Linked DNA regions of Canis lupus familiaris. The protein of the gene in region 2 purifies or fractionates together with the protein of the main gene of each other region. This does not show direct contact. Links are inferred from orthologs where the notes say so. Each region holds a gene or a part of one and is shown on either strand. Other genes may lie near its edges. The genes, in order: MARK2 and MTCL1.

Region 1 (3,816 bases), on a different chromosome or scaffold from region 2:
GATTTTATTTATTTATTCATGGGAGACAGAGACACAGGCAGAGGGAGAACAGGCTCCCTGCAAGGAGCCCAATATGGGACTCGATCCCAGGACCCCCGGATCACAGCCTGAGCCAAAGGTAGATGCTCTACCAGTGAGCCACCCAGATGTCCCAATAAAATGTACAATTAAGTGGCTTTGAGTAAGTTCACAGAGCCATGTAGCCATCACCACTGTCAGCACTTCATTAGAACACATGCGTCATCACAGAAACCCTACACCCCTTACTTGTCCCCCCTAAGTCCCCACCCTCAGCCAGCCCTAGATTAATCTTTCTCCGTGGATTTGCTCATTCTGAACATTTTAGATAAATGGAAACCATATAATGTGTGGTGCTTTGTGACCAGCTTTGTTCACTCAACGTCCTGCCTTCAAGGCTCCTCATGTGGTAGCAGGTGTCAGTACTCGCTGCTTTTCATTGCCGACCAGCATCCCGCTATGTGGCTTTCTCCACAGTGTGTTCTCCATCTGTCACTTAATGGCCATTCATGGTGTTTCCCTTCCGGGGCTCCCGTGAGCATAGGATGTTATGAACACACATTGGTATGGCTGTCCGTCACCTTCCTCTTAGATACTCACCAAGGGGCATAGCAGCTCTGTGTTTAGCCACCTGAGGAGCACACAGATTTTTTAGTAAATGGATGTTTTCCTCTGGGCCGTGCAACTTTGGGGTTATGTGTATGTAGCTGTTCGGTGCCCTGGCCATCACTTCTGCTTTGTCACACCCTTTTTCGAGCAACAGGATATCTGAGGAGGGCAGACAGTCGCCTTGCTCCGACCCTGTCATTCAGTTTGTTCACAGCACAAGTTTCATTGAGCATGTACCATAACTCAGATTGTGTAGGTACTGGGATGTGTCAGGGAATAAATGAGTTATGCCTGCCTTCATGAGCTTCCATTCTCGTCGGGATTGACAACAAATGAATGTAAAGTGATAGATAATAAAAGTAAAGGTGAAGCATTGGGTGGTGATGAGTGCTTTGACGAAATTCTGACTGTTCGGCTCCTGGGGCTTTGGGGCTTTGCCGTGTAGCCTTGTCACAGTGTGAACAGGCAGCAGGGCGGCCAGCAGGAGGCACTCGCCCACAGGGGGGAGGTGCGGAGATGCTGGTGGCTTATTGAGGGTGGAGCCAGCAGTGGCACAGCGGTGGGACAATGCCAGTCCTGAGCTCCCATGCCCATAGGTCCCACAGGTCCCACAGGATGTTGGCACTGGACCATATGCTCTACTCCCTTGGAGTGAAGACTGGCTCATTTCTCTTCCCCCTCCTGCGTTTGGATCCTTTCCCTGCCTGCCAGCCCCCTGCAGTCCATCCTGATTCCTCCAGCCTCTTAGGTTTTTTGCCGAGAGCTAAGGAAGGGCAAGGGTCTGGGGAACTGAGGGCAGCCTACGGAAAGGTGTGCATGTCTCCACCCTGCAGCCCACCTTGGGACACCTCGACCCCAAGCCCACCAGTAAGTCCAACATGCTGCGGGGCCGCAACTCAGCCGCCTCTGCTGACGAGCAGCCCCATATCGGCAACTACCGACTCCTTAAGACCATCGGCAAGGGCAACTTCGCCAAGGTGAAGCTGGCCCGGCACATCCTGACTGGGAAAGAGGTGAGCTCCGGGGGCGGGGCCGGCCGCACCTCCCAGCTGTTGGCACCCAGCAGGAAGCGGTGGCACCACTGCCGCAGCCACCTTCTGGTTTGTCAGGTGGAAGTGCTGAGAGGGATGGGGCACAGAAGAGGTGGAAATATAGAGGAAGAGGGAGAGGAGAGTTGAGTCCTGGGTTAAGCCTGCTCTAAAGAGGGAATCTGGGGCTTTTTGTCTCATGTGCAGGTAGCTGTGAAGATCATTGACAAGACTCAACTGAACTCCTCCAGTCTCCAGAAAGTAAGCATACAGCATTTCCTGTTGCTTTCTAAACCTCTCTTTAGGGGTCAGTGATCTACTGATCTCATGTGGGCCTCCCTTTGAATCCCCAATTTTAAAAATCTCTAGTCATTCACTGTCCTCACTGCTCCATGGCTCTGCTATCTCTGGGGCTCTGATTGGATCCATCACGTTAACCCCTCCTGGATAGGCTTCCTGACCACAGGCACTGGCTCTTTAGAAGTCTTTCTGCCCTTCCCTGCCATTTGGCCTATCTAGGTGACCTACTTCCTACATCTTGTTATCTTCTGGCCTGTGGCCAGCTCTGTGCAAAAACACACTTTCGTAGCCATTACTAGAAACATGCCTTTGGGTAACTGCAAGATCGGGAATGATCCAGAGGAGTGGCTCTAGACATACAGGGACCCTGCCACCAGATTCTATGCCTGCTACATTTTAGGGGATGAGAATATGGAAGACTGGCACTGGGGTTTTTAGAAGCTAAACTCCAGGTCAAGCCTGTGACAGTTTGCAAGTGGAGGACAGGTACTCCCAGTTTGCCTCTTCACTCCTAAGTTCCTCTTGGCTAAAAGTCATGACATCATTTGCATGTAGTGTTCACTAGGTGAGGTTGAATTTTTCCTTCCCTCCTTAACTCAGGGTGGGAAACTGAGGTCTATGTTAGCTAGCTGGTCAGGGGACTCCTTTAGGTAGGAACACCTACCCCCTGGTTGGGAAACTGTGAAGAGTTCGTGGGGACATGAAAAGGAGGCTTTTATTTGCAGTATGGGACAGCTTGCTGGTGGTGACAGGTTGATGTAGAACTGGAGACTCTCTGCCCTCTCCCCTCATCTTGTGCTCCAAGCAGTTAGGGGGAAGGAGGAAATAGCCCATCTGGCTCCCCAAAAGCTGCCCCTGGTCAGTTGGGTCAGATTTCCTTGTGCCCTCACACTCCCCTGACCCTGGCTCAAATGTGCTAACCTTGATTCACCTTAGTTCTTTCTATCATGAGATAGACTGAATTTTTTTTTTCATTAGCACATGTGTTATTTGAGTTAGGAGAGGTCATAACTTCATGCAGCAGTCAACTACAGTGAGGTTGGGAAGCTTAGGGCAGGGTTTAGGGGCTGGTGTTGAGAGAGGCACTAGCATCATGGAGGTTGAGGTGCCTTGACTCGCTGGCATCCAAAACCAAGGTGTTTCCTATTTTTTTGTTAGCCCTGGGATCCCCTCAAGGTTCTTTGGTTCAGAGGAAACACTGCTGTCATCACTAGGGCTTTCCTGCTTAGAGCTTTCCGGAAGGAAGGGAAAGAGGGCTACTCTTGATGTTTTGGCCCAGACCCTACAGGGTGGAAGCCAGTTTGGTGTGGGCCGTTTGGTCTTTGGTGCAGTCCAGCCTGCCATATGGTAATAGCCACAGTCAGTCAAGCCATCTTATCTCCCTTTTTTTCTCCTTGCCTCTTCCTGACTGGCTGGAAGGCAGCAATGCCAGACAAATGTAGCCATTTGAAAAGCCTATTAACACACTCTTACCAAGGCCAATCTGATTCTGGCCAAATCACTGTTTAAATTTGATCCCAGCAGTGATCCGTAAAAAGGACAATAGTGAAGAATCTGTCCCCCCTCAGGGTTCTCAGCTAAGCCTAGAAAACTCCACATTATCCTAGGAGAATGCCCCTTCCAGGCCAGTGGGTGCTCTCAGGAGGAGAGCCCTGGCCCCCACCTCCGACCCCATCTCAGTGTTGCTTCCCACCCCTGTGGTAGTATCCGGGATTTTTTGCCTCCTTATCCAAGACAATTGCTGGACCAGGGAAGAAGGCACGAGAAACCTGGGCTCTAACAAGAAAAGGGAGCCAAATTCAGAATCAGACTCCTGAAGATTGGAAAGCTTGTCTCTTCTTTTCCTTTCCAGATTACAAAA
Region 2 (3,732 bases):
GTGGCCACAGCTGCTGGGGCACAGATAATTGTTTCACCTCAGGACCCATCCTGCTGTTCTCCACAGCGGCTGCACAAACAGCACCCCAGGGTTCCAGCATCTCCACGTTCTCACCAATAGATGGTATTTTCCATTTTAGGGGAAAATATTTAACTTAAAGGTAGAACTGTTGTAATGCTGGGAATAGAGCTTATTCTGTTAGCCAGTCTAGAGAAGGACAGCACTGTTGAGTCAATGGGACATGAAGGCCAGAAGCTTCGGCCCAAAGTAGTTCTTTCACTCTTTACCAGCATCACCTCTTTATAAACTCCCTACTCTGTTACACACTGACAGGCCGGGTGACACCTCTTTGTCAGGGAGGGAAGCCGGTCCTGGTGATTGGCCACTCCCCCTTTCCCAGGGAGGGGAGAGGGAGAGAGGCCAGGCACATTTTGACTTGTGGGTAACAGTTGCCTCACACCTCCATGCCCGCCATGTTTTCAACCAGAAGTTGCCTTGTCATCAACCCCAGGGCGCTCTTATGGAGAAGAGGGAAGCTGTGGCATACCAGGTGCTCACGGTGTACCCCCAGTGAGGTGTGTTAGCAGCTGTTGCCTCTTTACAGGACCTCCCCTTTTCCTCGTTCCCCTGGCTACGGAAAACTATTGCTTGAGCCCTTAGGGGAAGATGGAGGGCATGTGAAACATGAGGTCCCGGAACAGGCTGCCATCTTGAAAGGCTTTATTTCTACTTCATCATTGTCTCATACAGACTCTGAGGGACCATCCTTTGCTTCAGTTTGGTACCCTCCGGACTTTTTGCAGTGCTTTTCCTTAAACAAGAAAATTTTGAGTAAACACTGTATATTGCCAGTTCATCTTTAACAATAATTTAAAAATGCCATTGCTGTTGTATCTCAATGCAAGAGGACAACGATGAAAGTACAGTACGAGGGATTCACAACGTATTACAGTGGGACAGATGACTCACACTTACGCAATGGTAGGACCACAGTAGCAGTATGTACATGCACCCCAGAGCGCTTCGAACCCAAAGACATGCAAGTCGAGTAGAGTACGTGGATTATACAGCAAATTTGGTAAGCCCAGCTGAGGACTCTGTACCTTTGCAAGAATGCTGACGTGTATCCCCTCCAGTAGAGAGGATATCCGTCTTGTCGACTGGCTTCATGGCTTTTTCACTATAAAAAGTTCACTGAATCAGTCTGAAGCATTTCAAAAATTCTTAAAAAACAAGAACACTGACAAAATGAAGTTAACTTAAAACACTCTACTTCAATGTGGGAACAAATCAAACCAAGGCGTAACAGTGCAAATTTAACAGAGAGGCAGTCAGTATTGAGAGCAAGGGTGTTCAGAATCTCTTAAAATGTACATCTTTAAAACTTTTATTTTTTAAATTTATATCTTATCTAGCTTTTTTGTTTAATATACTGTGTAAAAAAGATGGAGACAAAAATAGTTTTCTGAGCTATGAAAAAAATTAAGTTATTACAGGCACGTTTACGGTTTCGTTCTAGAAACATCTCAGGTTCACAGGTTGGACATTCAGCAGCTGTGTGTTTTTTAAAAACATTCTTTGACCTTGGGAAAGCTAGATCTTTCCTTGTGGGTGGAGCTTGGTTGATGACAGCGTGGTTATGCAAATTACAGGGAATCATTCCCTGATAATCCATGCAAACTTGCACTCGTCACAGGTGTGTCTTCTCCCCCGGTGGCTCCTCATCGCCGAGCTCCTCCAAGGAGGCTGGGTCTCCGGGTGACTGAGCCAGTGAGGCAGTGGGGGAATGTGAGGCCCAACGGGACGGAAGGCGACGGTTTGCTGGTCTCTCGGGCCTGGAGAAGCAGGGTTCTAGGGATGGAGCTAGTGCGGAACAAGGTAGTTCCTTCAAAGCCGAGAAAGAGAAAGACAGGGTTACTCAGAACCACAGTTCCTTTGTGGGGGGAAGGGGGTGACTCTCCCCAAACACACTTCTCAACAGACTCCAGTTAAATGCAATGGATTAGGGGCAACTTCCCAATGTTAATTTATACTTGCTCCAGGAGAATAACAAAATGGTCAGTGAAAAATTCAAACAGATGATCAGTGACAGAGGAATGAGAAGATAGCAAATTATGATCAAAATATGGCAATGCTGTGAGATGGGTATGTTTACACAAGCATCTTCAGAATTGGGCTAGAGCCTATGGAAGGTGGGGGAAAGCCACAGGCCACCTGGTCATGGTCTGACTTGGCTGACCCCATCCTTCTGGCCCTCCTGAGTGATCTATTAGCCACAGTGACCTGGCCCTAAAAGGCCAGTCTCCCTACCCTTTGGTCTGTTGGAGGCCCATGAAGAGACGGATGATTTATCCAGCTGTATTAGCAAAAAGACTCACCTTAAAACGAACTCTGCTACTGTTTATTCCAAGTTGACTGACAGTGGGTTAAACAAACTCCCACAACATGGAAAAAAAATGCTGCAGGCAGAAATTTTAACTTCGGTCTGGTTTTTAATGACTCTTCCCTGCTGCAGCATTTTAGAAAGTGGCATCAGAGTGTGCTTGTGCTTCTGTTATAGGCATCCTACGCCTTCTGAGAACAGATAATGCAAGACACACTCAACTGTGGGGCAGACCACCTATAATACATCTTCCCGGGCCAAGGCTCCTTTTCTGGTGTTAACGAATGTCCAGCTACTTGTCCTTAGTCTGCAGGCTAGGAAACAAGGATGCCCAAACCTGGAGTCTGCTGGTGCACGAAGAGTGCGGGTGGTGGGAGGAAACCCGAGTTCACCGGGCGGAACCCACCTGCCCAGGTGACACTCAAACAAGAAAAAGCTGAGATGGTAAGCCACTGCAATGAAGAATGACAGCAAATACAGGCTCTCAGAGCCCAAAGGGAAGGACATCAGAGGACGGACATAGATGTGACAAGCAAGTGCAGAGGCCAGGATGAGGAGGGTTTAGTCTGCAGAGCAGGGAGTGACAGTGGAGAAGAGACGGTGGGCTGTATCCATGGGCACAGTGAGGACTAAGGAGAAGAGGGGAGGCAGAGCGCCGCCTTGGGGCTTCTGGAAGAGTGATGGAGTGAGGTGGGCCTTGCTTCCCCGTGGGCCCCACGGGAAATGGCATGAACACTGAGATACTTCTAAACATCCCCGGCCTCCTTGTGACGGCAGTTGTAGCAGAGGATGGGGAAACCTTGATTAGCAAAGTGCTAGGCTGGTGGGAACCATGGCAACCAGGAAGACCTCGCCCACAAAGGCCTGAAATAGCTGAAATGCAAACTAGGTGGGGTGAGCTGTCCTCTCCTCACCTCAGCCCTGCTATGCACATGCGTGGAGGTGCATGGTTTAGGACACCTGCTACTGCTTTGTCTTTTTCTGTCTCTGCTCCTCCTATTGTCAGATTTGTGTGTTGTGTGTTTGTATTGTGTATGTTGTGTAGTATATAAGTGTGTTGTGTATGTGTGACATCATGTTGTGTACAAGTATGTGCCTTGTATGAGGATGTTATGTGTGCATCGTGGGTCATTTTGTGCATGAGTGTCATGTGCTGCATGTGCTATGTATGAGTGTGTGGTGTGTGCCAGGTGTGAATACTGAGATGGCTGCTATCATGGGTTTTTTCCAACACCGCTGCAGCCCATTGCCACCTGGCCGATACTGAACCAGAACGGGCTTTTGATTAGACAGCGTGGTGCCACTTCTTCATCATGTGAACCCCTATAGGGAGAAATGTGTGACCGGGT

The links.
Region 1: the proteins of MTCL1 (region 2) and MARK2 purify together in Homo sapiens (affinity purification with mass spectrometry; 5 studies listed by BioGRID and IntAct, with this or other methods). This does not show direct contact. The link is inferred for Canis lupus familiaris from reciprocal best matches to the Homo sapiens genes MTCL1 and MARK2.

The regions. Positions count from the first base shown.
Region 1 is NC_049239.1:53,622,373-53,626,188, reverse strand, and holds part of MARK2 (serine/threonine-protein kinase MARK2), read left to right. Parts: intron 1-1,460; coding exon 1,461-1,640; intron 1,641-1,862; coding exon 1,863-1,916; intron 1,917-3,816. UniProt on the Homo sapiens protein: Serine/threonine-protein kinase. Involved in cell polarity and microtubule dynamics regulation. Phosphorylates CRTC2/TORC2, DCX, HDAC7, KIF13B, MAP2, MAP4 and RAB11FIP2. Phosphorylates the microtubule-associated protein MAPT/TAU.
Region 2 is NC_049228.1:75,042,311-75,046,042, reverse strand, and holds the end of MTCL1 (microtubule cross-linking factor 1), read right to left. Parts: intron 1,886-3,732; coding exon 1,691-1,885; 3' UTR 704-1,690; downstream 1-703. UniProt on the Homo sapiens protein: Microtubule-associated factor involved in the late phase of epithelial polarization and microtubule dynamics regulation.